4 linked regions of the Nothobranchius furzeri genome follow. The protein of the gene in region 1 purifies or fractionates together with the protein of each later gene. This does not show direct contact. Links are inferred from orthologs where the notes say so. Each region holds a gene or a part of one and is shown in the gene's direction. Other genes may lie near its edges.

Evidence for each region.
Region 2: the proteins of ncl (region 1) and rpl14 purify together in Homo sapiens (affinity purification with mass spectrometry; 3 studies listed by BioGRID and IntAct, with this or other methods). This does not show direct contact. The link is inferred for Nothobranchius furzeri from reciprocal best matches to the Homo sapiens genes NCL and RPL14.
Region 3: the proteins of ncl (region 1) and stau1 purify together in Homo sapiens (affinity purification with mass spectrometry; 4 studies listed by BioGRID and IntAct, with this or other methods). This does not show direct contact. The link is inferred for Nothobranchius furzeri from reciprocal best matches to the Homo sapiens genes NCL and STAU1.
Region 4: the proteins of ncl (region 1) and mybbp1a purify together in Homo sapiens (affinity purification with mass spectrometry; 3 studies listed by BioGRID and IntAct, with this or other methods). This does not show direct contact. The link is inferred for Nothobranchius furzeri from reciprocal best matches to the Homo sapiens genes NCL and MYBBP1A.

The regions. Positions count from the first base shown.
Region 1 is NC_091748.1:62,944,533-62,950,354, reverse strand, and holds the start of ncl (nucleolin), read left to right. Parts: upstream 1-2,379; 5' UTR 2,380-2,549; coding exon 2,550-2,567; intron 2,568-3,479; coding exon 3,480-3,575; intron 3,576-3,651; coding exon 3,652-3,760; intron 3,761-4,005; coding exon 4,006-4,155; intron 4,156-4,228; exon of another isoform or gene 4,229-4,366; intron 4,367-4,450; coding exon 4,451-4,738; intron 4,739-5,111; coding exon 5,112-5,264; intron 5,265-5,402; coding exon 5,403-5,486; intron 5,487-5,574; coding exon 5,575-5,698; intron 5,699-5,779; coding exon 5,780-5,822. UniProt on the Homo sapiens protein: Nucleolin is the major nucleolar protein of growing eukaryotic cells. It is found associated with intranucleolar chromatin and pre-ribosomal particles. It induces chromatin decondensation by binding to histone H1.
Region 2 is NC_091751.1:21,576,442-21,582,191, forward strand, and holds rpl14 (large ribosomal subunit protein eL14), read left to right. Parts: upstream 1-2,056; 5' UTR 2,057-2,141; coding exon 2,142-2,144; intron 2,145-2,623; coding exon 2,624-2,725; intron 2,726-2,803; coding exon 2,804-2,898; intron 2,899-3,973; coding exon 3,974-4,073; intron 4,074-4,490; coding exon 4,491-4,544; intron 4,545-4,707; coding exon 4,708-4,767; 3' UTR 4,768-4,803; downstream 4,804-5,750.
Region 3 is NC_091743.1:66,054,844-66,060,470, reverse strand, and holds the start of stau1 (double-stranded RNA-binding protein Staufen homolog 1), read left to right. Parts: upstream 1-1,933; 5' UTR 1,934-2,124; intron 2,125-3,861; 5' UTR 3,862-3,964; coding exon 3,965-4,163; intron 4,164-4,279; coding exon 4,280-4,398; intron 4,399-4,476; coding exon 4,477-4,621; intron 4,622-4,732; coding exon 4,733-4,886; intron 4,887-4,972; coding exon 4,973-5,144; intron 5,145-5,226; coding exon 5,227-5,322; intron 5,323-5,412; coding exon 5,413-5,625; intron 5,626-5,627. Other genes in the region: pbrm1l (polybromo 1, like), read left to right, coding at 477-638, 949-1,013, 1,133-1,337, 1,443-1,606. UniProt on the Homo sapiens protein: Binds double-stranded RNA (regardless of the sequence) and tubulin.
Region 4 is NC_091750.1:52,602,439-52,608,080, reverse strand, and holds the start of mybbp1a (myb-binding protein 1A-like protein), read left to right. Parts: upstream 1-1,948; 5' UTR 1,949-2,024; coding exon 2,025-2,201; intron 2,202-2,790; coding exon 2,791-2,886; intron 2,887-2,998; coding exon 2,999-3,082; intron 3,083-3,167; coding exon 3,168-3,242; intron 3,243-3,329; coding exon 3,330-3,437; intron 3,438-3,523; coding exon 3,524-3,714; intron 3,715-3,796; coding exon 3,797-3,964; intron 3,965-4,125; coding exon 4,126-4,243; intron 4,244-4,342; coding exon 4,343-4,632; intron 4,633-4,698; coding exon 4,699-4,809; intron 4,810-4,889; coding exon 4,890-5,015; intron 5,016-5,120; coding exon 5,121-5,318; intron 5,319-5,430; coding exon 5,431-5,530; intron 5,531-5,642. Other genes in the region: tbl2 (transducin beta-like protein 2), read left to right, coding at 188-340, 699-1,158. UniProt on the Homo sapiens protein: May activate or repress transcription via interactions with sequence specific DNA-binding proteins. Repression may be mediated at least in part by histone deacetylase activity (HDAC activity).

The DNA.
Region 1 (5,822 bases):
AGCCTAGATGGATTACATGAAAGCCTATGACTCAACAACTCACAGCTGCTCTTGATGAACATAACATCTATGATAGCTTCCAGTCAGGTTTTTGTAGAGCTCATTCTACTGAAACAGCTCTTCTTAGGGTCTCTAATGACCTTCTGACCCACAGTGAAGCAGGGGATTGTTCTGTTCTGGTCCTGCTGGACCTGACTGCGGCCTTTGACACTGTTGACCATCACCTGCTACTGGAGAGGCTGAGAGACTGGGTAGGCCTATCAGGATCTGCTCTGGAGTGGTTCTTCTCTTATCTGTCTGAGAGTTCCTTTTCTGTGGCCGTCTCCAAGTTTAGGTCCTCCACCACCTCTCTTACCCATGGTGTCCCACAAGGCTCTGTGCTGGGGCCTCTGCACTTCCTCCTCTATCTGCTTCCTCTTCAGCACATCCTGAGCTCCTTCAAAGGAGCTCCTACCATCTTTACGCAGATGACATCCAACTGTACATCTCCTTTAAGCCCCATGAGATGCCTAAGCTGCAGCTGTTACACGCCTGCTTAGACTCTATCAAAACCTGGATGGCTGGGAACTTTCTACAGCTGAATGAAGATAAGACTGAGATCCTCATCAGTGCCCCAGACAAGCTGGTTCCCAAAGTCAGAGACTCTCTTGGTCAGCTTGCTTCTCACACCAAAACCTCCGTCAGGAATCTTGGCGTGACCTTTGACCCAGCTCTCACCCTGGATTCTCATGTCAGTTCTCTTGTTCGCTCTTCCTTCTTCCATCCCAGGAACATTGCTAAGCTGAGTCCCATTCTGTCCCGCTCTGAACTTGAGACAGTTATCCACACCTTCATCTCCTCACGCTTAGACTACTGTAACTCTCTTTTCACGTGTCTGAGCAGAACCTGAACCGTCTACAGGTGGTTCAGAAAGCCTGTGCTCGGCTTCTGACCAAGTCCTCCAAACACACTCACATCACCCCACTTCTCCTCCAGCTTCACAGGCTGCCAGTCAACTTCAGGGTTCATTTCAAGATCCTGGTTCTGGTCTATAGGGCCTTACATGGACAAGCACCATCATACATTGGTGATCTTCTCCATCCCTACACCCCCAGCGGGTCCCTGAGGTCCAGTGACCAAAGCCTACTGGTTGTGCAACGCACCAGGCTAAACACCAAAGGTGACAGATAATTTGCTGCTGTGGCCCCCAGACTCTGGAACTCTCTCCCCCTGAGCCTAAGATTGGTGGACTCAGTGGTCTCCTTTAAAATACAGCTGAAATCTCACCTGTTCAAGCTAGCTTTTGCGTGACCTTCATCACCTCCCTCCCCTTATTCTGCTCTTATTCCACCTTTCCCAGGATCCATTAATGTCCCTCTTCCCTATTAAATGTTCTCTCTCCCTTTCCTTACATTTTTTTCTTTTCTCCTTTTAAACATATTTTTAATCATTTTTGAAATCTTTTTATACTTTAATTGTTTTTTTGTTTTTGTGAAGCACCTCGTGATTTTTATCTTGAGAGGCAGATAAAATATCATCAGATAGAATCAGATATAAAAATATCATTTTCAGCATGTGTTCAGTATTGTGCAATACTGGACGTACATTATCTGTGTCTCTTATGCTGCATATTTTTGGAAACCCAGTTGTCTATTTGTATTCATTGTTTTGAGGGTTGAATGTTACAAGAACAGGTTACTGCCTATGTGTTTACCTGTACTTTTGTTGTTTTCTTCTTCCTTGTCTAAAAGTGTATGTGCTGCAGTAACAAGGTTATTTCCCCAAAATGGGATTAATAGTCTATTCTAAATAGGGTGGGACCTCAGCTTCTCCAGATGTTTAGCACAGGTTGGAGGAGTCAGTGGCATACACAATGCCTCTGCCCTTTTAGTATTTGCTGTAAAATCCCAGTGTCAGTGTCCCAAACTCTTCAAGAGATTTGAAAAAAAAGTGAGAGGGCGATATCCTCTTTACTGGTACAATTGAAAAACTGTGGTAACGTTTGATCAAAATATATTTTATTAAAGGCAAATTATTGTTGGCGGTTGAAACGTTCGACGTGGCCCTAAAAACTGATTGAATATACCCTGGGTTATGCTAGAACCACGTGGTAGACGCGGTCGATGGTTTACGGCAGCTGACCAAAAGAAAACAGCTGCACGGAGTTGCATAAAGACGCATTGTCTTTGTGTCAACATTTAGAAAATTGCACTTTTTTGGCACTATCCGAAGACAAATCTTGGAAGTTAAACACACAGATAATCTCGGAAATGGTATTTTTAGATGAAATTTGCTCAGGTGTAGAGAAAAAAACAGTCTGTAAACGGCTCGTAGGCGAGGCGCGTGCACGAGGCAAATATGTCAATTTCCGATTGGTTGAAATGGTCATGTGGGCGGGCAGACGTCACAGCGCGGAGCTGGAGAGAAACCACTTCTGCGACCCGTCTGTCTTTCTAGTCCAATGTCCCACTGAGTAGACAGATCCACGTGCATGCAGCAGACATTTTGGTACTTGTCATCAAACCTTTAGATATTAGTGTTTCATTGAAACACACACATCAGAAGCAACCATGGTGAAGCTAGCAAAGGTAAGACGAATCTATATCACATCAAAATGTCCGCGCTGAGCCGTGCTTGAATTTTTTTTTTTTGGCGCACGAGGCCTTTGGCTTAAGGTGCTGCGTTTTTGGAAAAATAAAACCAGTCAAAGTTAGGAATGTGCGCGCATATGTTGCAGTGACAGCGCATTTTCACAACATTTTTAACAATCTAATCCTTCAAAAGTAGTTTTTCCCCCTAATATGTAAAGCATGCTGTATTTGGTCGACGTCTCTGGTTCTGGTTTTCCAGGCCTAGCTCGGCCTGCTAACGCTAGGCGAGTTTTCGTCGTGTTATTTGTCCGTTTCTCTTTTTAAGCGTTTGGGTTTTATTGTGATTAAAAAATTGAGCTTTTTTATTAAACTAAAGTGGGAAAGTAGAGTTTTGACGTTACTGGTAATACATTTGTAATAATGTAACATACGTTTAATCCTATTCCGTTTTAGCATTAGCACGTTGCACATTTTAAGTACGTGGTCCGCATCTTCTTTACACGTTTTTGAGTCGAATTCAAGGGTTTTGTTTTTCGTTATCTGTTGGAATCTTCGTGTCGAACGTTTGTTACCCAAAGCGGTTTGATTTTTGTTGTAGTTTTAGTCGTCTGTGGTGAAATGTAGCCCAGATGCTAGCCTTATGTTAGCTTCACGAGCTCCACGTGGGTGGGCGCACGCTATGAGTGACACACGCGGTGTTCAACCAAAACCGAGAAAGTAGTTTACTGTAAAGGCGGACGGATGTCACGATTGGTTAGTCAGTCTGCATTATTTGCGGTATTTATTTTTGTTTAACTTGGATGAACTTGAATTGATATACTTAAGCTTAACGGTTGAGCTGTAGATTCGTTTTGACTGTTGTGTAGTCTTTCTAGTTTTTATGGATTAACACTGGCTTTTTTTTTTCAGGCAGCAAGTCAACAAATTAAAAAGAAAAAAGCCCCCCCACCCCCCAAAAAAGTGGAAGAGGAATCTAGTGAAGAAGAAAGCAGTGAGGAGGAAGAGGTATAACACTTGCTTAGTTACTGATATCAGTTTGTTGAATTCAAATAACTGAACTTTCTTTCTTTTTAAAATCCAGACCCCTCCACCTAAAGTAGCAAAAAAAGCAGCAGGTAAAGCTTCCCCAGCAGTCAAAAATGGTACCCCTGCCAAAAAACAAGAAAGTTCTGATGAAGAGGATGATTCTGGTGAGCTGCACTAATAAAATTTAGGTTTTTCAGGTCCTATTGATGTCATAATAAAATAATTTTCAAGGGATATCCCCGTCAAACTCACACAATGTACTCTTATTTAGCCTACACATAACGAGCTGCTTAAGAAAGTTTATTTTAAATTATAAACCTAAATGCATAATTTATTAGTTGCATAATTGATTTTTTTCTAAAAGTTAAATTTTATTTGATTTGTGAAATTATCTCGTGGTCACCCACAGAGGAATCTGAGGAAGAGGCACCACCACCTAAAAAGACACCTGCAAAAGCAGCATCTGCAAAGACAGCTGCTAAAGCCACAGCAGTGAAAGCAGCGCCTGCCAAGGCTGAGCAGTCTGATGATGATGACGACGACGAAGATGACGATGATGGTATGTGGTGGTTTAGACTTTTTTTTTTTTTTTTGTTAACTTTGACTAAGTGAATAGTGAAGTGGCCCCACACCCTCCATTTCTTGGCATGCATGCAGTTGATTGGTACTCATGTGTGTAATGTACGGAGGAAAAGTAAAGGCAGCGCTATGTCTTCGGTGCCGGTGTGTTTTAATGTCTGCCGGTTCTATCCTCAAACGCTGTTACATTGCTTCATGTTTTGTTTTCTGCTCTATATGAATCTTACCTAGAAGTGAGGGTGAAAAATAACCCAATTTCAATGTTTCTTGTTCAGATGAATCTGAAGAGGAGGCCCCACCTCCCAAGAAAGCAGCAAAACCAGCAGCCAAGCCTCCTGCCAAAGCCCCAGCAAAGGCCAAACCTGCTCCAAAGGAGTCTTCTGATGATGATGACGACGATGATGAAGATGATTCAGAGGAGGAGGAGGCAGCTCCACCCCCAAAGAAGGCTACTCCAGCCAAAGCAGCTGCCGCTAAACCTGCGGCCAAAGCAGCTGCTAAATCTGCAGCTAAAGCACAGCCTGCTAAAGAGGAGTCTGACGATGAGGAGGACGATGAAGATGGTAAGCCTGATTCTCTATTGTTTTTAATTATTGACAAAGAAACTTTACGCTGGACCAGCTTTAACTGTGTGATGAAGAAAAAGGGACTTAATACTGATTGTGGTTGATGTCACTTTTTACATATCTGATGTTGGTCAAAGCTGCAATAGCAAATCTGCAAAACGGGCCAGCTTTTAAAAAGTCGCCGAACTCTCTTTCCCCGTCAGCTATCATAATTTTTAACTTCACAAACTATTTTTGTCTTCCTTTAAGAGGCACGAAAGTGTTTTAGACTAGTTAGTTTTGCAGATTTGCCATTGTAGATTTAAAAGGATCATGTGATCTAAAACATGGGGACAGGAAATGATGTCCAGATCTGATGTTTGTACTCCAGACTCTGAAGAAGAGGAGATGGACACCACTCCAGCTCCAGCAGCCACCAAGGCAAAGAAAGCAGGCATGGTCAAAGCCAAGGAGGAGTCAGAGGAGGAGGAAGATGATGATGATGATGATGACGACGAAGATGATGATGAGGAGGAGGATGAAGGTTAGTTTTGTGAAACTTTTCTTGTGTCTTAATATTCGTACTGGAACTTGACTCAAAAATTAAGTTTTAATATGTGAGATTATCAGAGCGTCAGACTCTGCTTTCCTTGTTATGAGAGCTGTAACCTTTTCTCCTCAGAACCTCCAGCAAAACCTCAAAAGAGGAAGGCAGAGACCAAAAAGCAGGAGACTCCTGCTAAAAAAGCAAAGTCGGATGGTGAAGGTAAGACATGTTTATGAATTTTCATCGTGATTACAAACCATCACAACTCTGATGCAGTCTGACAATGACACAATTTTCTTATCAACAGGTTTCAGCCTTTTTATCGGAAATCTAAACTCCAGCAAAGACTTCGATGAACTCAAGGATGGGCTGAGAAAATTCTTCACCAAAAACAGTCTGGAGATCGTGGATGTTCGACTTGGGGGATCAAAGTAGGCCTTGGGCAGATTTTTATTTTTTATTTATTTTTTCCTAAACTGTCAGTAATAATTGTTGTGGTTTACTTCGTCTAGGAAATTTGGCTATGTGGACTTTGCATCCGAGGAAGACCTCAAC
Region 2 (5,750 bases), on another chromosome or scaffold:
CCTAAAGGTATAGACCCAGGACACGTTGGAGGGACTGTGTCTCTCATCTGACCAGGGAATGCTTTGGGATTCCCCCGGAAGAGCTGGCCCAAGTGGCTGAGGAGAGGGAAGTCTGGGCCTCTCGCCTTTGGCTACTGCCCCCACAACCCTACTCCAGATAAGTGGATGAAAATGGATGGATGAATGGATGGATGGATAAAGGGAAACATTTTTTGATTGAAAATATGATGAAAAAAAAGAAAAAGAACAAAGGTAATCACAGTATCCTGAAAAAAGACATAACGGACAGAATCTAAGCATGAATAGAAGCCAGTCAGGAAGACGAGGATGAACAGGAGGTCACACGGAAGCCAGCTTGAACAGATGAGCTTTCAGCTTCTTTTTGAAGGAGACCACTGAGTCCACTGATCTCAGGCTCAGGGGGAAAGTGTTCCAGAGTCTGGGGGCCACAGCAGCAAATGATCTGTCACCTTTGGTCTTTAGCCTGGTGCGCGGCACCACAGACATATGTACGTAGATGACCCGTGGACTGGCGCTGCCGTAGCTCCATCTTGGATTGGCCTCCATTCATCTTCACTGCATTTATTACTGAGGAAGGTGGTTACCCAACTAAAAAACACATTTTATCAATCTTTTTCATTAGTGTGCCAGTTGTTGCAACTGTAGGCTGCACAAAACGGGCATAGTTACTCATTCTGCATTGACTTTGGAGAGTGAGGAGACCCATCCAATATGGCAGCGACACTGTTACGCTATCCTGTGCCCAATGGAGCATCTATGTATTCATGTCTATGCACTACACAAGTAGAGTTGGTAGCCTTGTAAAATCTTGATATGAAATATAGTGAAAGTTGTTATTAAACTAAAGGAAAAAAACAAAGATTTGTTTTTAAAAGTCTTGTTTCACATGTATCTTCATGGAGGGAAATATGCTTGTAAATCAGTGACCATAAAAGAAACATTTGTTATGAAATAGTTTTCAGGAATATTTTTTCAATATTACAAAGTAGAAGGAAGTTATGGAAGCCCATTCCCGCCACTCAGATAAAAAAATTCATATCTCATAATTATATCATATCAGAATAATGAGATAGTATCTCATTACAATCTCATAATTGTGAGATACTATCTCATTATTATGAGATATTATCTCATTATTATTATGACTTAGCTATCTCATAATTATGAGATAGTATCTCATTATTGTGGGATAGTACCTCATAATTATGAGACAGTATCTCATAATTATGAGATAGTAATGAGATACTATCTCATAATAATGAGATAGTATCTCATAATTATGAGATAGCTAAGTCATAATAATGAGATAGTATCTCATTATTATGAGATACTATCTCAATAATGAGATAGTATCTCATTATTATGAGATAGCTAAGTCATAATTATGAGATAGCTAAGTCATAATTATGAGATAGCTAAGTCATAATTATGAGATTTTTTTTTATCTGAGTGGCAGTAATGGGCTTCCATAATATGAGGAATAGCATGAGACAGGACAGTCTTGCAGCTTTGGTTAGTAAAACTGCCTCATAATGACAAGTCTCATTACATCCAATGGTTCAGATTTTTCTGGGATTAATTAAATAATAATTACTGCTTCGGGTATCTCTATCTTTAGTCCTAAAGACAATTCACTAGTAAGTAACAGGAAATGTGACTTTATAATCTTAGTAAGATTCTTCAGCCCTGTTTTAGTTTATTATTGCACATTCGTCCTAAAAAAAACCTCCCTGATGGTGCATTCAAAGACATTAATTATACCATTTCAACGTGTCACCTGAAACTACTGATATTATCAAGTTCTTGTTTTAAAATAATTACCATTCAGTTTGATTCACCTCAGTCAATAGCTTACAGGTTTTGTTTTGGCGTTGGCTTTCACTCGATAAACTTATTTCTGAACTGGGTGTGGCACACACGTTTTCATTTTGCGCGTCTCTGCATGATACATTGTGAGCAGCGTCCTTTTTTTGGTTAAACTATTACATTACACACATTTAATAACATTTCTTTTGATTTTTTTTAAGTAGAACTCACTGCGCACGTGCAAACCCAAAACGGAAGTCGTCATGTGCAGCAGCCGGAAGCTGTAACGTCCTTTTTGCTCCCCGACTGCCATCATGGTGAGTTCGCCATGAGACGAGGAGAAAACTTATTCAAAAGGAGTAGTTATTTGTTCAGTTAGTGTAAAAAATAACATCAGTGTGCATTTATAAAACACTCACGCACACATTTGCTAAGTTTAAAATGTTTACGTAGGTGTATTTCTAGATTTCAACGCTGACTGAAGTTATCGGCAACGTGGTCTATCAGGCCGCAGAGCCCGAGCGCTTGCTCATTAACCAGATCAAACGCAACTTTTAGGTTATGATGAAGCTGCCTGTTGTCCGCTCTGGGTGTCACATACACGTTTCTACTCTGTGCGTCCGCTAATCCTTGATGTTAACGCAGAAACACATGCTGTTAGCTCGCTCTAGCGGTCCAGTTCCGTATTTTAAATCGGTGTATGTCACATTTCTCAGTGTATTCGCGCGATAGAGCCCAATGTGTGATATATGTTTAAAGTCAACGTAGATCCTAACCAGCCTCTCGTCTCCGTCAGGTGTTCAACCGCTTTGTTGAGATCGGCCGTGTTGCCTACATCTCCTTTGGACCCAATGCTGGCAAGCTGGTGGCCATAGTAGACGTCATTGACCAGAACAGGGTGAGTGGATTGGGGAATTAACTGTAAGTTAGTGTGTTTACGTTGATATAAGGATTTTTATTTTATTTTGCTTCGCAGGCACTTGTTGATGGTCCCTGCACTGGAGTAAAGAGGCAAGCCATGCCATTCAAGTGCATGCAGCTTACTGACTACGTCATCAAAGTACCTCACAGGTGCGTGTTTACACTGAAGGGGTTTATGAAGTTATATAGTGTATTAAAGATAATCCACATGTTTACACAACCAATAGCTGTCACACGGTGTTGCACATGTTAAATGTTACTAGTTCACAGGATTTGTTTATGTTCAGATATTATGTTTTATCTGGTAGAAAGGCGGCAAACATGAAGTATGTTAGTGAACTTGTTTGTGTAAATTTGACATAAAGCTAATTTTGATTCTGGTGCTTAAAGGTTTGCTGAGAGACTAATACTTGATTTTTAATTTAACCGGTGACTGAACTGCAATACTTTCCACTCACAATCCTGTTGTTTTCCATCTACCACTTCTCACACTAACTGTTGTCTCTTGAAACAGGAGCCCTGAAGCATTTTAACATAGAAACTCATTTATGTAAACTAGAAGCCACAGCCACTTAATTGGGATAAGCAAGCGAGCAGTCTAAGATTGAGTGGTTTGTTGTTTTTCTCTCACTAGGACACGTTAGACTTAATGTTGGGTTGCAGGTTCAGGGTTCGGAGCATCTTCTCTATCCTGTCTTTTTTTTTTACTTGCCTCCACTTTCATCCTTCCGCTGATCCAAGCCTCGCATTTTAAAATCACACAAGAGAACAGCCAGCAATGTTCTTTCTGCTTGCTTCTGTTACTGCTGGTCTTTACCTGTTTTTGAGTTTAAATTCACACTATGTTAAATTAAATATGATTTTGAGCTGCCGTTTATTATTGCTCCCTATTTGAATAATGATGTTCCGGATGCTGAAACCTCTGTCCTTTAGTTAATAACTGTTAGTTTATTTTGCAAATTCAACTGGATGGATTTCATTTGCTTCAACAGCTGGTGCGGTTTTCATGTAGATGTCGGCTCAGCGCCCTTGTGTTAATCAGACCTGATTTTTCGAGTCATCCCACGTTTTTGGTGATTTGGGGTGAATGGGGTTTACAGTTTTCCTGCAGCAGCCTGGCTTCTCAGTCATGGTTGTAAAATGTGTCGAGCATTTCTAACTTCACACTTTTCTGAATAACACAAGAAAGCTCTTAGATCTGTACGCTGTTTGTTTTGGTTCACAGTGCTCGTCAGAAGTTTGTGAAGCGAGCCTGGGAGAAGGCCCAGGTCAACGAGAAGTGGTCAGAGAGCAGCTGGGCCAAGAAGATCGAGGCTAGGCAGAAGGTAAAATGCTGTCAGAGTTTTGTTTTGCTGTTAGTTCATCTCCGTGTTTGATCATCTGTACTGTAACAATCATTGTACTTTCAACGTCTTAACCGTTTTGCACCAGTTTTCTAAATATTAGCATTAATTAGACGTTGTTTCCTACCATCAAGTGCACAATGGTTTTATATCCACACTTGTTTGTGCAGCTAACAAAATGGATAAAATAACCCTACAGTGTGACCAAAGCGTTATATCAGGATGTTGTTGCCCACTGCTGTGTAATCGGTTTACATACTGGCTGGTGTGACCTGTCCCATCAGAGGGATTACAGCTGAACCTTTTAAAATCAGATTAGTTCATAATTTTAACACAAACCAAGTTAAAAGCAAACCACACGTTATGTCGCTGACCTGTTTTTGTTTGGCTCGTCTCCAGAGGGCTAAGATGTCTGACTTTGACCGCTACAAGGTGATGAAGGCCAAGAGGATGGTGAGTATAGCAGAGGCTTTTAATTAGAAGCTTTTTTTCTATGCAAAACAGATCAGTAAAGTGTTAAAAGTAGTCTTGGGACCAATGTGGAGCTCAGCGGGTGAGATAATTAAATTAAATATCATTTAACCCTGTTCTAATCAGTGCACCTTTCTGTCTGCAGAGGAACAAGATCATCAAGCACGAGGTGAAGAAGCTCCAGAAGGAAGCTGCAAAGAAGTGAAAAGTTTTCACAAAATAAATGTCCTGTTGAATTGTTCTGCTGTGTCTTTTTTCAGCATTCGGCAGAATTTCTCACCTTGTAAGTTGCTGAAAATCACTGAATGTGATGAATGAGAAAAAATGGGAGTGCCATTTCAATTACTGATTTAAAATCTCATGCCTCTAAAGTGCGTTCACTAAACGTATTTATTTGGGATGCTGCTGAATTGTTAGTAAATGTATAGATATTGAGTTTGATCACAAATAAGGCAAGGCAGCTTTATATTTCATTCACAGAGGAAATTCAATGTGCTTTTAATCAGCAAGAACGTTGAAATAAACGTGACAGAAAATGCAATTTCAAAAGAACCCGTTGACGGGTGAGCAACTACAGTGCAGAAGGTGCAGCATTAGAAATGTATTCAAAGGCTGGTGTAAACTGCTGCTTGAGGATCTCGGCGCCCTGCTGGGTGTAAACACCTGAAGGAGATCTGGCGTATTCTGGCCCCATGCCATTGAGTTATTTATATACTACAAGTACTTTGAAATTGATTGTGTAGTTTACTGGTAACCAGTGTAGAGATTTAAGAACAGGAGTGATGTGTTCGGTTCTTGTTAAGAGTAGCAGCAGCGTTCTGAATAAGCCGCAGTTGCTTCACAGCTTTTTGGGAAGATCAGCCAAAAGACCCTTGCAGTAGTCCAGCCTGCTGGAGATGAACGTATGAAGTGTTTCTCTAGGTCTGGTCTGAACCATGAGACTTACTGTCTGATGCAGATAACGCTGGTTATAGCCGTAATGTGACCAGTGTAGCTCAGGTCTGAATAAATTCCAACACCAAGATTTATAACCTGAGACTTTGTCTTTATTCCTCTGGAGCCAAGCTGAGCAATAACCTCCATCCTGTCCTTATTTCCAAAGACAATAACTTCAGCCTTTAACTGGAGGAAGTTTGATTGCATCCAATCCTTAATTTGCTGCAAACACTGAGTGAGTCTGGGACCACA
Region 3 (5,627 bases), on another chromosome or scaffold:
TTCTGGAGAAAGCATAAACAGTGTTCTTTTTACCTGTAATATGTTTTAACCAAGTACTGTTTTTCATTCTGACAGAAATTGGAGAATATGAATTTAGTATCTTATTAGTTATAATTTTATAGTATTTTATCTAGCGCCTCTCGGGGAAAAAAGTCACGAGGCGCTTCACAAAACAAAAAAATACAAATATAATTTTTTTTTAAATATCTTTAAAATGACTAAAAATAAAAGTTGTGATAAAAAATGTAAGGAAAGGGAGAGAGAAAATGAATAGGAAAGAGGGAGATCGGCACCAGAATGAACGGGACAAATAAATAAAACCTATTAAAACATGAATTATTTGAAATGCAGATTTTGAGTCCTTTGAGGTCAGTGTGTGATAAGGGTCGCTGTGTGTCTTAGTGCATGTTGTCTAGAGTCATCTGCATGGGACTTATGCATGGATATGTTGTGCTCTCCTTGCCCTCTTCCCAAAGGCATGATGGGAGCTTACGGCCCACCTTACATGCCCATGCAGGGCCCTCATGAGGGTTTGCTGAGCGTGGCACCAATGCCACCTCACTCTGGGGGGGTTCCTCACCTGCCTCCTCACCATCTCCAGCAAGGTATGCCCGGATACCCTGGCATGCCCCATCAGGGTAAGGGCCCACTGTCCCAGCCACACTTGCTCAGTCACATGCAGTCGTGTCTCTCCGGCTGTGGAGGGGTTTACCTGGTCCACAGGCTGCATAGCCTGAGCTACACACCGAACTGTCGAAGCTCGCTGGTCTTGCCCATCCAGATCTACATTCACATAGTTATGCATGACAAACTGATACCAGATGACTAACATTTAGCTAATTTTCATGCATTAACTTTCTCAGAGGCTGTGTTGAAAACATGAAGCAAACTATAAATTAGGTAAATTCCTTTTCCTCATTTGTCAGAGTAAATCTTGTGTTTAAACAGGTATGATGGGCGCTGGTGCAAATGGGATGGCAGGAAGTCCTGGACAAGGAAATTTTATGCAACAGGTGTTTTTTTTGTTTTTTTTTTTGTTAATACAGAGCAGTTGAAACCATGTTGTAAATAAAAGCTAGACTGACTGAAATGAACAGTGCGGGTTTACCACAATTGCTTTATTTTATTTTAGCCTGGGGTGTTTAGTCCAGGACAGCACGCTCCTCCACCATATCCCGGACAGGGCCAGCCATCTCATCTGCAGCCCACCACTCCCATGTTTGTTGGACCACCACCAAAGACCCAGAGGGTGCTCCACTCAGAAGCCTACCTGAAGTACATTGAGGGCTTAAATTCAGAATCAAGCACTGTCAGCAAGTGGGACCAAATGCTAAAAGGTGATGCTTTTCCCCTCACTCCCAAATCAGTTTGCTTCTCTGTGCGTTGATGCAAATTCAACATTTTTGTTGTTGTTGTTTACTGATAACTTTTATCCATAACAGCTCAAAGACGAGATGCTCACTTTACCAAAGAGCAGGAGAGTCGCCTTCCAGCACACTGGTTGAAGAGCAAAGGAGCTCACACAACAATGGTGGATGCGTTGTGGCGTTTACGGGACTTGATGCTGAGAGACTCACTGAATATTTGTCAGGCTTACAACCTGTAACCTCCCAAACAGAACCACTAACCTCAGTAACTACTCTTATCCTCAGTTTGTGGAGTTTTCAAATGGTAGAAAGCAATATTTTATAGTGGGTCACAACCATTTTATATTTATTAGCTAAAAAAGTGAACTTGATAGTGATTTGTGTGCATTTTTATACCGTCTTAAATCATAGTTCTGCTAAAACCTGTGATTTTATTTTATTGTCTTATTGATGCAACCAGAATAAAAAGCTGCAAACCTCATGTTTGTTTCATTTTTTATGTAGCTTCTTGCCTTTTTGGATTTTATTTTTGAAGTACTTCCGGTTTGATGACGCCATTTCCGTGAGACGATCAAGACCGTGCCATTCTCTTTAGTGTTTGCCGTGTCCTCCCAATGTTCGCCTCCTTGCCTCCCGCATTTTGAATACAAATTAACAGACACTGACTCTTGAAGCTGAACGTAAAACCAAACAAACCCCATTAAGCCATATTTTATTATGGATTAACAAAAAAAAAACGAAGAAAAGTAGCGAAGAGGTGAGGCTTGCTTTGTGCACTGTCGGCTTTAGCTAGCTGCTAAGCTAATTTGTCAACACCGGCTGCTTTCTGGTTCGTTGGCCAAATAACCTGAAACATGTCCTTGACCAGACTAAAAAAATATTGTAAGACTTTACTGATGTTTAGTTGTAAGCTAAGTGTTTTTGGTAAGTTTTTTACCTAACGATTCTAAAAGTGATATCAGGTTGCTACACCGGTGCCTTTGCGGTGAGCTGACCGGTTTGCTAACATGCTCCTTCGGAGTAGCCTTTATTAACTCCTCGCGGCCTTATTTAGAAATGGATCATGTTCTGACAATAATGTATGTATATATGTTTTAAATATTTGTAAAGACAAGAGTTATGGGCTGTATAATGCATTGACATGTTTTTTGCAAGTGTTTTTGGTCCATTCTCTGCATCGGCTAACCTGCCAGTAATCTTGTTTTTAACATAAATGTAGCATTAAGATAACCTTTTAGCAACAAAAAGCATGCTATTAAGTTCCGCAGTTTGTTGCGTGCGACCGGTGGTCCATGGGAAATGAGAGGTGGTTCAGTTAGAGGCTTTAGAGGCTCATCCTTTCCAGCCAAACTGATGTGATGGAGAAACGTGAATATCAGAACAAGCAGACGCTGCTGAAATCTGATTTTCAATCTTTGTCCTTTGTTTTGCAATGGATCAAGATCCAATCATGAAAAATAACAAAACGGATGAAAAATGTTTACAGTTCATCACCCAGGCAGGATGGGTGTCAAGTTAAAGCATGAAAAACATGCCATCAGTGCAATAATCCAGTATTACTGAATAACATGTTTGCTGCTGCGTAAAGGCTTTTTGCACATTATTTAGTCCGGTAAAGATTAAATTTAATGTATGTATTTTTATATCTGCCTTTTCTTATATCATGTTTATTTTATTGTTTGCGCCACTTGAGTGCCACCCAGTTTCAAGTATTCACATGCAATGCCACTAAAACCTTCTGATTTCTAAACAGGGGGTCTCCCTCCTGAAGCTAGGGAGGAGCCCCTTGAGCTCTGGTTCTTGGCCTGGGCTTTGGGTCTGATTGTGGCCTGGCTCATGCACCATGGTCAGATACTGGGGGTGCTGCCGTCCCTTCTGGAGCCAAGAAGGAGACCCATGAGCTCTGGTTCTCAGCTTGGGCTGTAGGTCTGAGTATGGCCCGGCTCATGCAACATGGTTGGAGTTAAACAAATATTATATCACAATGACAAAGGAACATTTTTGACATAACATTTATAAGTTATCTTTGAAGAGGTTCTTTAAATGAATAAACAGTTTATTTAAAAAAATTAAACAGCCATGGGCACCAAGTAAACATTTGGTGTATCTCATTGTCATGTGTCAGCCTCAACGTATCTCTTCAGTAAGTGAAAAGAAATAAATGATAAAGAAAAATGTGGACACCTGCTAGAAAGAGTGCTACTTTTGCAATATATGCATTTTTAATTACATAAATTGATGTACTGTTGAGAGATTTGCAATAACTACAGGCACTGATTTAATGATATTAATGGTCAAATTAGCTACATTTAATCCAGTGGCGGTTTTTAGAACCAACATAAATATATAAACCTCACAATGAAGCTAATAACTGCAATAAATTGCAATCATCTCTCTTGTAACAAAACCATGCTAATTTTCTAACCAAGAATCGTTTGAAAATGCAAATTATTTGGTAAAATACATTTGTTATAATATCATATTTCTTTCTCAGACTCTTCTCCAGGCCAAGCTTTTATCCTGACCTCTTCAGTCCTCGGTCACTCCCACACTGTAAATCACTAATCTTGACTTCAACCTTCAACAATACAAGAGCAATGAGGATGTCTCAGCTTCAGTTTCAGTGTCCTGTTAGTTCCATGCCTGCTGCTTCTGCCCCCCTTCAGCTGGGACAGCCGCAGCCTGGCTACAGCATCCCCTGTGCTACGGGCGCCCTACCATCGGAGAGTGCCAGTCAGCCCATCAGGAGCTCCGCCCTCCCTGCGGGCTCTGCCACTCCTTATAATACCACCACAGGTACTTTCTTTTTGAAATAGTTTGGGTTTCTTTCCTTCACCATCTAGATCTGGGTTGACTCCAGAAGCTGTGGCTGTCTGCATCTTTCTTTAATGGTGTTTATTATTTTGTTTCAGTAAACATGGCAAACCCTAAAGAGAAGACCCCCATGTGCTTGGTGAATGAGTTAGCTCGTTTCAACAAGCTCCAACCTGAATATAAGCTGCTTTCTGAGCAAGGGCCAGCACACTCCAAGGTACAGCGGGTGTGAAGTCTCACACGTCCAACCCGTTGTCCTGTCGGGTTTACAGTAATGATAGAAGGTCTGTTTCAGATTTTCTCAGTGAGGTTGACGCTGGGAGATCAACACTGGGAGGCGGAGGGGACCAGTATCAAGAAAGCCCAGCATTCCGCTGCTGCTTCTGCTCTTACTGAGACAACTCTTCCCAAACCCACCATGAGGATGCCGCGTAACACAGGCAGGAACCCACATGGGCTTCTCCCGCTGGTTCTGTTTTCTCATTATAATTAACATTTTACGATCGGAGAGTTGATGTGTTACATTTTGTATTTTCTTGTGTCCCCTGCAGCTGATGGCATCACACACACCATGGAGCTGAATGCACTTTGCATAAAGCTCGGTAAAAAACCCATCTATAAACCCATCGACCCGTATCCCGGGATGAGACCGCCGAACTTCAACTACAACGTTCGTGCTCCGCCTTACCAGCGCTCTATGCAACAGTCAGTTTACACCAATTTAAAAAATCATATTTCCTCTGTTTAGCCTCTGATTTTCAAGAGTGGAACAACTTTCCTTATCTTTCCAGGTACTACTATCCATTTACCCCGGTAGGACCGATGATTTATCACATGGAGCTCTCCATCGGGGGTCAGCAGTACGTTGGAAAGGGGCGTACACGGCAGATGGCCAAACACGATGCTGCTGCCAAAGCGCTGAAAGTCCTGCAGAAGGAGCCCATGCTGCAGCAGTGTCCAGAGGTGGGAAGAGTAGCCATCACCAGACAGCTTAAATACTGTTTTGTTAATATTTCACATTGTTTTATTTTTAAATGTGTAACAGGTGAATGGAGAATCCGAGGATGAGAACCTAAACAAATCAGAAATTAGCCAAGTTTTTGAAATTGCCCTCAAACGAAACTTACCTGTCATCTTTGAGGTTTGGATGTTTGCTAACATCAGAAGTCTTAAGATGAATGTTCAAGTTGCGACTGTAACAAAAAGAGTTTGTTTTTATTTTTCATTCCAGGTTTTAAAAGAGGAGGGCCCTCCACACATGAAGAATTTTGTCGTGAGCGTTTCAGTCGGAGAGTTCTCGGGAAACGGCGAGGGGAAGAGTAAAAAGATCGCCAAGAAGCTGGCGGCAGCGGCGGTGCTGTGTGAGCTGAAGAGGCTCCCCCACATACCGAGTGTGGAAAGGAAGCTGCCACGCATCAAAAAGAAAACCAAATCTATCATCAAGGT
Region 4 (5,642 bases), on another chromosome or scaffold:
TTCAACTCTCAGTGGTGGCGTAAACATCCTGCACCAAAATAGACTTTTAGGGTTTGATGGTGGCTTAACCACAGCACATTTTGCACAAACCTAAAACTAAAACAACTCAAGCTAAATTGGTCTGCATAGTTTTAAAGGATGCATATCAAAATCTGTAGGATTGTCATTGTTTTCTCCCTGTGCTCAGGTTTGTAGCATCCTGTGGTTTCACTCCTGACGTGAAGGTTTGGGAGGTTTGCTTTGGGAAGGGAGGAGAGTTCAGAGAGGTCGCTCGAGCGTTTGATCTGAAAGGCCATTCTGCAGGAGTTCATGCTTTTGCTTTTTCTAACAACTCTCACAGGTAATAAAAGTGTTTGTTTACAACACAGAGCCACAGAGGAGGCTTGTTGTGCTTTGAATTTAAAAGCGATAAGACAAACAGCTTCCAATACCAAAGATGATCTGGGGCACGCTGAGTAATTTCCAGCTTCATTGTGCAAACAGAACTAATGATTCAACACCAAGGGTGTCATCTGATGAGGACACAGTGGGTGTTAAATCGTTAGTTCTGTTTGCACAATGAAGCTTGAAATTCATCAGTGAGATCCAGTTCCTATGTTTGATATCTGAAGCAATCACTCTGCTAAATGGAAAAAACACACAGATTATCTACGACACTTTAATATAACTGATTTGTTTTTCTTTCTTTTATCGATCAGGATGGTCACCGTCTCTAAAGATGGAACGTGGAAGCTGTGGAACACAGATGTAGAGTACAAAAAGCAGCAGGATCCTTACCTCCTGAAGACGGTCCCTTGCTCCTCCTCCGAAGGCAGCAGAGTGGCTTTGTCCCCTGATGGCCGTGTTGTGGCCATCAGCAATGGTTGTAACATAGCGATGTACGATGCTGCCACTGGGAATCTGGAGAAGGAACTGCACGGTGTCCACAGTGAAAACATCTCCGACCTCAGGTTTGACATTAACAGCCGCTTCTTGGTGTGCAGCGGCGACAAGGCTATCAGAGTGTTTCATAATGCGCCAGGCTACCAGGCTGCTATCAAAGACATGCAGGACATGCTGAAAAAAGCCCAGAACGAGGCTATGAAGCAGAGACTGCAGCAGCAGATAAAAGATGCTCAGAGCGCTCTGGACACTGTGCTCACTGCTCGGATCGAGTGAAAGAATGCACAAAGAGCCACCATGTGATTGTGATGTGTCATGTTTTTGTCAACATCCAGTTTCCCTTTTCTGCTCATTAATTTGTGCAGGAAGCAACGGGTTATGCATGCAGTTTTAATAAAGAATACATTTTTATGCAAAGATGAAATGTGTTGTGGATGTGTGTGGTTTGATTTAAAGTTAGGAAACCAAAAACACGGTAATGAAGATGGTCTACAATACCAAAGTGAACGCTCTTGTCACAGCATCATATCACAAAACGAGTAAATGCTTAAAGAGAAAGAATTTACTTACTGAATAATTAAATAAAAAGTGATTTAAAAGTAGCATGGGTTAATTGTCACTAAATTCATATTAAAGTCTGGATTTAGTTTTTGCCAATTGAATAAGAAACATTAGTTATAGTACCTCTCAAGATAAAATTCAGGAGGCGCTTATTGAGGTCTTTGTTAGAAAAACAAGATTAAACCCTGAGAATGCTCTTTCCTAAATAAGCTTCAGTAGCTTTCACTTAGATTTTAACTGAAAAAAAAAGATACAGTCAGAAAAACCCTCAACATCAAGAAGTTTCCATGGATATGGATCTGGCCCTGGTTTAGACTGTTCCACCTTCCCACAAAAAACGCTGATGATCAAAACAAAGTTTATTGAAAGAACAAAAAAATGGGGGTTTACATCATGTTGTCACCGGCGCACGTGGAGGTGCAACTACTGGGCAGCATTCTTTAACGATGAAATCCGAGTCTTGCGCCGGCCTATCGCTAAAGAGCAACCCTCATCTGAATTGACCCGGAAGTGGTTTGTGTCTGTGGAAACACGTTTTCCTCCCGTAGCAGCATGTTGATCAGAGGTGGTTCTGAGAGCAGATGTCTGTAGAGATGGTGGAACTGTTGGTGAAGGCAGCGGAGCCGCTGCGACCGGCCGGGGTTTTACAGCAGAACCGGGTCTTCCTCGACTTCTTCTGGGATTTAGCTAAACCGGATCAGGAGGTCCGACTGAAGGCCGTGGAGAACCTGATCCAGTACCTGAAAACAGAAAACAAGGTGAGAAACTGCCTGGACACGATCCAGACTCAGATGCATTATGTCCTCTGAAGTTAAAGTTTTAGTAAATCAGAATAAAAGTTTTTAGATTCAAATGATTATATCACTGACTAAATTGTCAATTTCTTAATAAAATCGCCTACGTTTTGGTTTAAAAAACTTTTTCTTCATAATTGGACAATAACTCAAAGAAAATCAAGTTTTAACGGACTAAATTAGTTTCTGTTAAAAACAATTTCACTAGTGTTTAACAATCAGCTAAAAGTTCACAACAAAGTAGAAGGCGTTAATTAAATATAAAAATAAAGTATAAAGCAAAGTGCAAGTTTAATACCGGTATATCAAAACAAAAATAAAATGTTCATCAAGTCATTTATACTCAAAGATAAAGACATGAGTTTTAAATGGCCTGTATTTGTATAGCGCCCCCAAGACGCTTCACAGCACAATCACACATTTACACACTGGTAGGGATGAGCTACCATGTAGCCACAGCTGGCCTGGGGCTCTTCTGAGAGTAGTGATGTCTAAATGTTCCCAGTCTCAGTGGTGTGTAGAAAGTTTTACGGATGTTGTTTCTGTCCTGCAGGCCGATGAACTGGATTACACGTTTAAACGTCTGGTGGACGGACTGTCCCACACCCGGGAGACAGCCAGGCCTGGGTTCAGCCTGGCTCTGGGACAGGTGAGGGCACCGCCAGCCCGCTTGATTGGTCGATTCAACTTTAAAGTTCACCAGTTTGTAGAAATCAAAAAACTTCAATGTTTCAAATTAAGCGATAAGTTTCCTCTTTCAGGTCTTGAGTGCCTTTAAGGACGTCTCCCTGCAGAGTATACTGAACAGAATCAAAGAGAAACACAACATACAGGCTGTGAAGAAGGTGAGTTTAGATGCTCAGGACTCCTTTGGCATCAGGAACTTCACTAACGGGCGTTTCCACTCACCAAAATCACGTTGTTTCATAGAAACTTGCCAGAAATGCGATGTTCGGAAACTTGTTTGGCGTCCTCGCTCTTCATCAGTCTGGACGTCTCGCTGAAGTGAGTTGGGAGTTTTTTTTTTTTTTGTTTTTTAAGGTTAACATTCTAAAGAGTCAAAAACACTTATAGCAGCTCTGATCTCTGCAGGAGCCACAGGTGGTGTTGGGATGTGTGACGCTCCTCCAGAGTCTGACTCAGCACAAGCAGCACCTGAAGGACCTGCCCAGTAAAACCATGGTGGACATCCTCACTGAGGTGACCGCTGCGTCCTGGTTGCAGCTTTCCACTTTGTATCAGTTTAACCTCAAAACGCACTCACATGCTGCCCTCTTGGCCTTCAGATCCCAGAGGAGGTGTTCGAGGAGGTCCTGCTGGGCGCCCTGCAGACTGACCTGGCGTCAGCCTTCAACACTCCCGAGCAGCTGCAGCTGCTGTTGGTGGCGCTGCAGCGCTTCCCTCAAACTCTCAAGCCGAAGAAACTCAAGAAGCTGCTGGGCTCCTCCACCATCATTAACGCTGACAACATTCCAAAGTGAGAATTCGGGAATCAGGTCTCAAAATACGCATTCAACCGTCTCCTCCTGCTTATTATCATTAAAAACCTTATCTGTCAGATTGATAGAGGTGTTAAAGATGGCAGCTCACTCTGTGAAGAAGGAGTTAACTCTACCAGCCGTTGCTCTGGACCTCCTGAAGCTCTCTCTGAAGGAGGACAGCTTCCAGCTCTTCTGGAACAAAGCCATCACAGAGGGAATGTTCAGGGAGCCGTTCGGAGTGACTCAGTGAGTTTATTACGAGGATGTGAATGAATCGGACCCAAAACGTGGAAACAAAGCTCTAAAATGTGAAAAGTGTAGTTTTTATTTTCTTGTATGACTTTGTTCTTCCCTGCAAGTGAATTTTTATTCTAACATCCAGCCTTCCCATTGTTGATTCTGTTCAGTTATCTGAGCTTCCGCCTGCTGGGAAGCGCCCTCCCTCTGCTGTCGTTGTCCCAGCTGAAGACGGTCTTATCTGGAGAAGTGATGATGCACTACGGAGAACACGTTCTTGCATCTCAGGTTAGTTCCAGGGTGAATTTTAGATTTCACTCGAATCAGAGGAATAACAAGTGAGGTCTTGGTGAGCTGTAGATCTGGATGGCTGTTTTTCTTTTCCAGAAACCGGGCCGCTTCAAGCTGGCCCCGGAGATGGACACCTACGTGTTGGACTTCCTGCAGGCCTGTCAGGACTCAGACAAGCAGCTGGCGGTCATGGTGGGCTTCTCCTCGCTGACCCACTTGGGTTTGCCTGTGGTGTTGCCAGTGTGGAAGGTGGTGCAGCATCTTCAGCCTGCAGCCTTGCAGAGCTACGTGGAGTGGCTTAAAGGAATGTTTCTTCAGCCTCGGATGGAAGAGCTGCTGGACTTCAGCACCCGCAAGCAGAAGGGCAAGCAGGAGGGTGGAGAGCAGTGAGTTTATACGCCCGCTTCTTTAGCTGACTGAAAAAACACCTTTTAACTCTAATGCTCCTTCAGGAAGGACAGCGCCGTTTTCCACCTGAGGAGGTGGATTGTTTCTCGACTTGCCTCCATCATCGACAACAGTCAGGTGAAGAAGCAGGAGGATCTCATCATGGACGTGGCCAGGTGAGCTTCCTGGTGAGCAGCTTCAGGGTTTCTGTGGGAGTCGAGGAGAAAACCATGATTCTGACTTGCTCCTTTTCCAGGTTTGTCTTTTTCCACGCCTTCTTCGGCACCCAGAAGGCCTCCTCTGACATCGCAGAGACTAGTTCAAAGCCTTCCATCCCGCTTGACGAGAAAACCAGAGGAGTGCTCGTCAGTTCTTTTTTTGGGTGAGAAGAAGTCTAATTTCCTTAAGTATTACCAACTTTATTAAAGAAGTCAGACTTTGCCTCTGCAGCTTCAGTTAAGTCCCGTCCCATCTGTCTTCCATCCAGACTCCTCATGTCGCTGCACCACATGCCACCTAGCGACGACGGCACGGCCGTCAATCAGAGACGGGTGCTCGGCGTAACAGCTGATGGCACCATGTGGATTTACCGCTTGGTTCAGTATGCCCAGCTCCTTCTAAACCATCCAAAACACGTTCACAGAGTCCATCCGTTCAGTCCTGAGCAGAGACAGGCCTGGGACAGGTGAGGGGACACTCAGGCTTCACATTTCTGATTACTTATCGGTTAAATGTGATGATATAGTTGAGATTTTATGTTGATGTGAAGGCAGGAAATTGTTATTGCTGTTTTTCAGCATGCTGGAGTCGGTGGAGAACTTGAGGAAAAAAGGCACAACAGCAGAGAGCGGCGCATTCCAGCAGCTGTTCCTGCTGGTCGGGATGCATCTGTTCAAGGTACACGCCACCTTACTGCAACACTGAGCTGCTTAGAGAAAAAGTCTGAATTTCCTCTGCAAATATTACAAACCTCACAAACAAGGTTGTGCTTTTTCTCCGTTAGTATTTT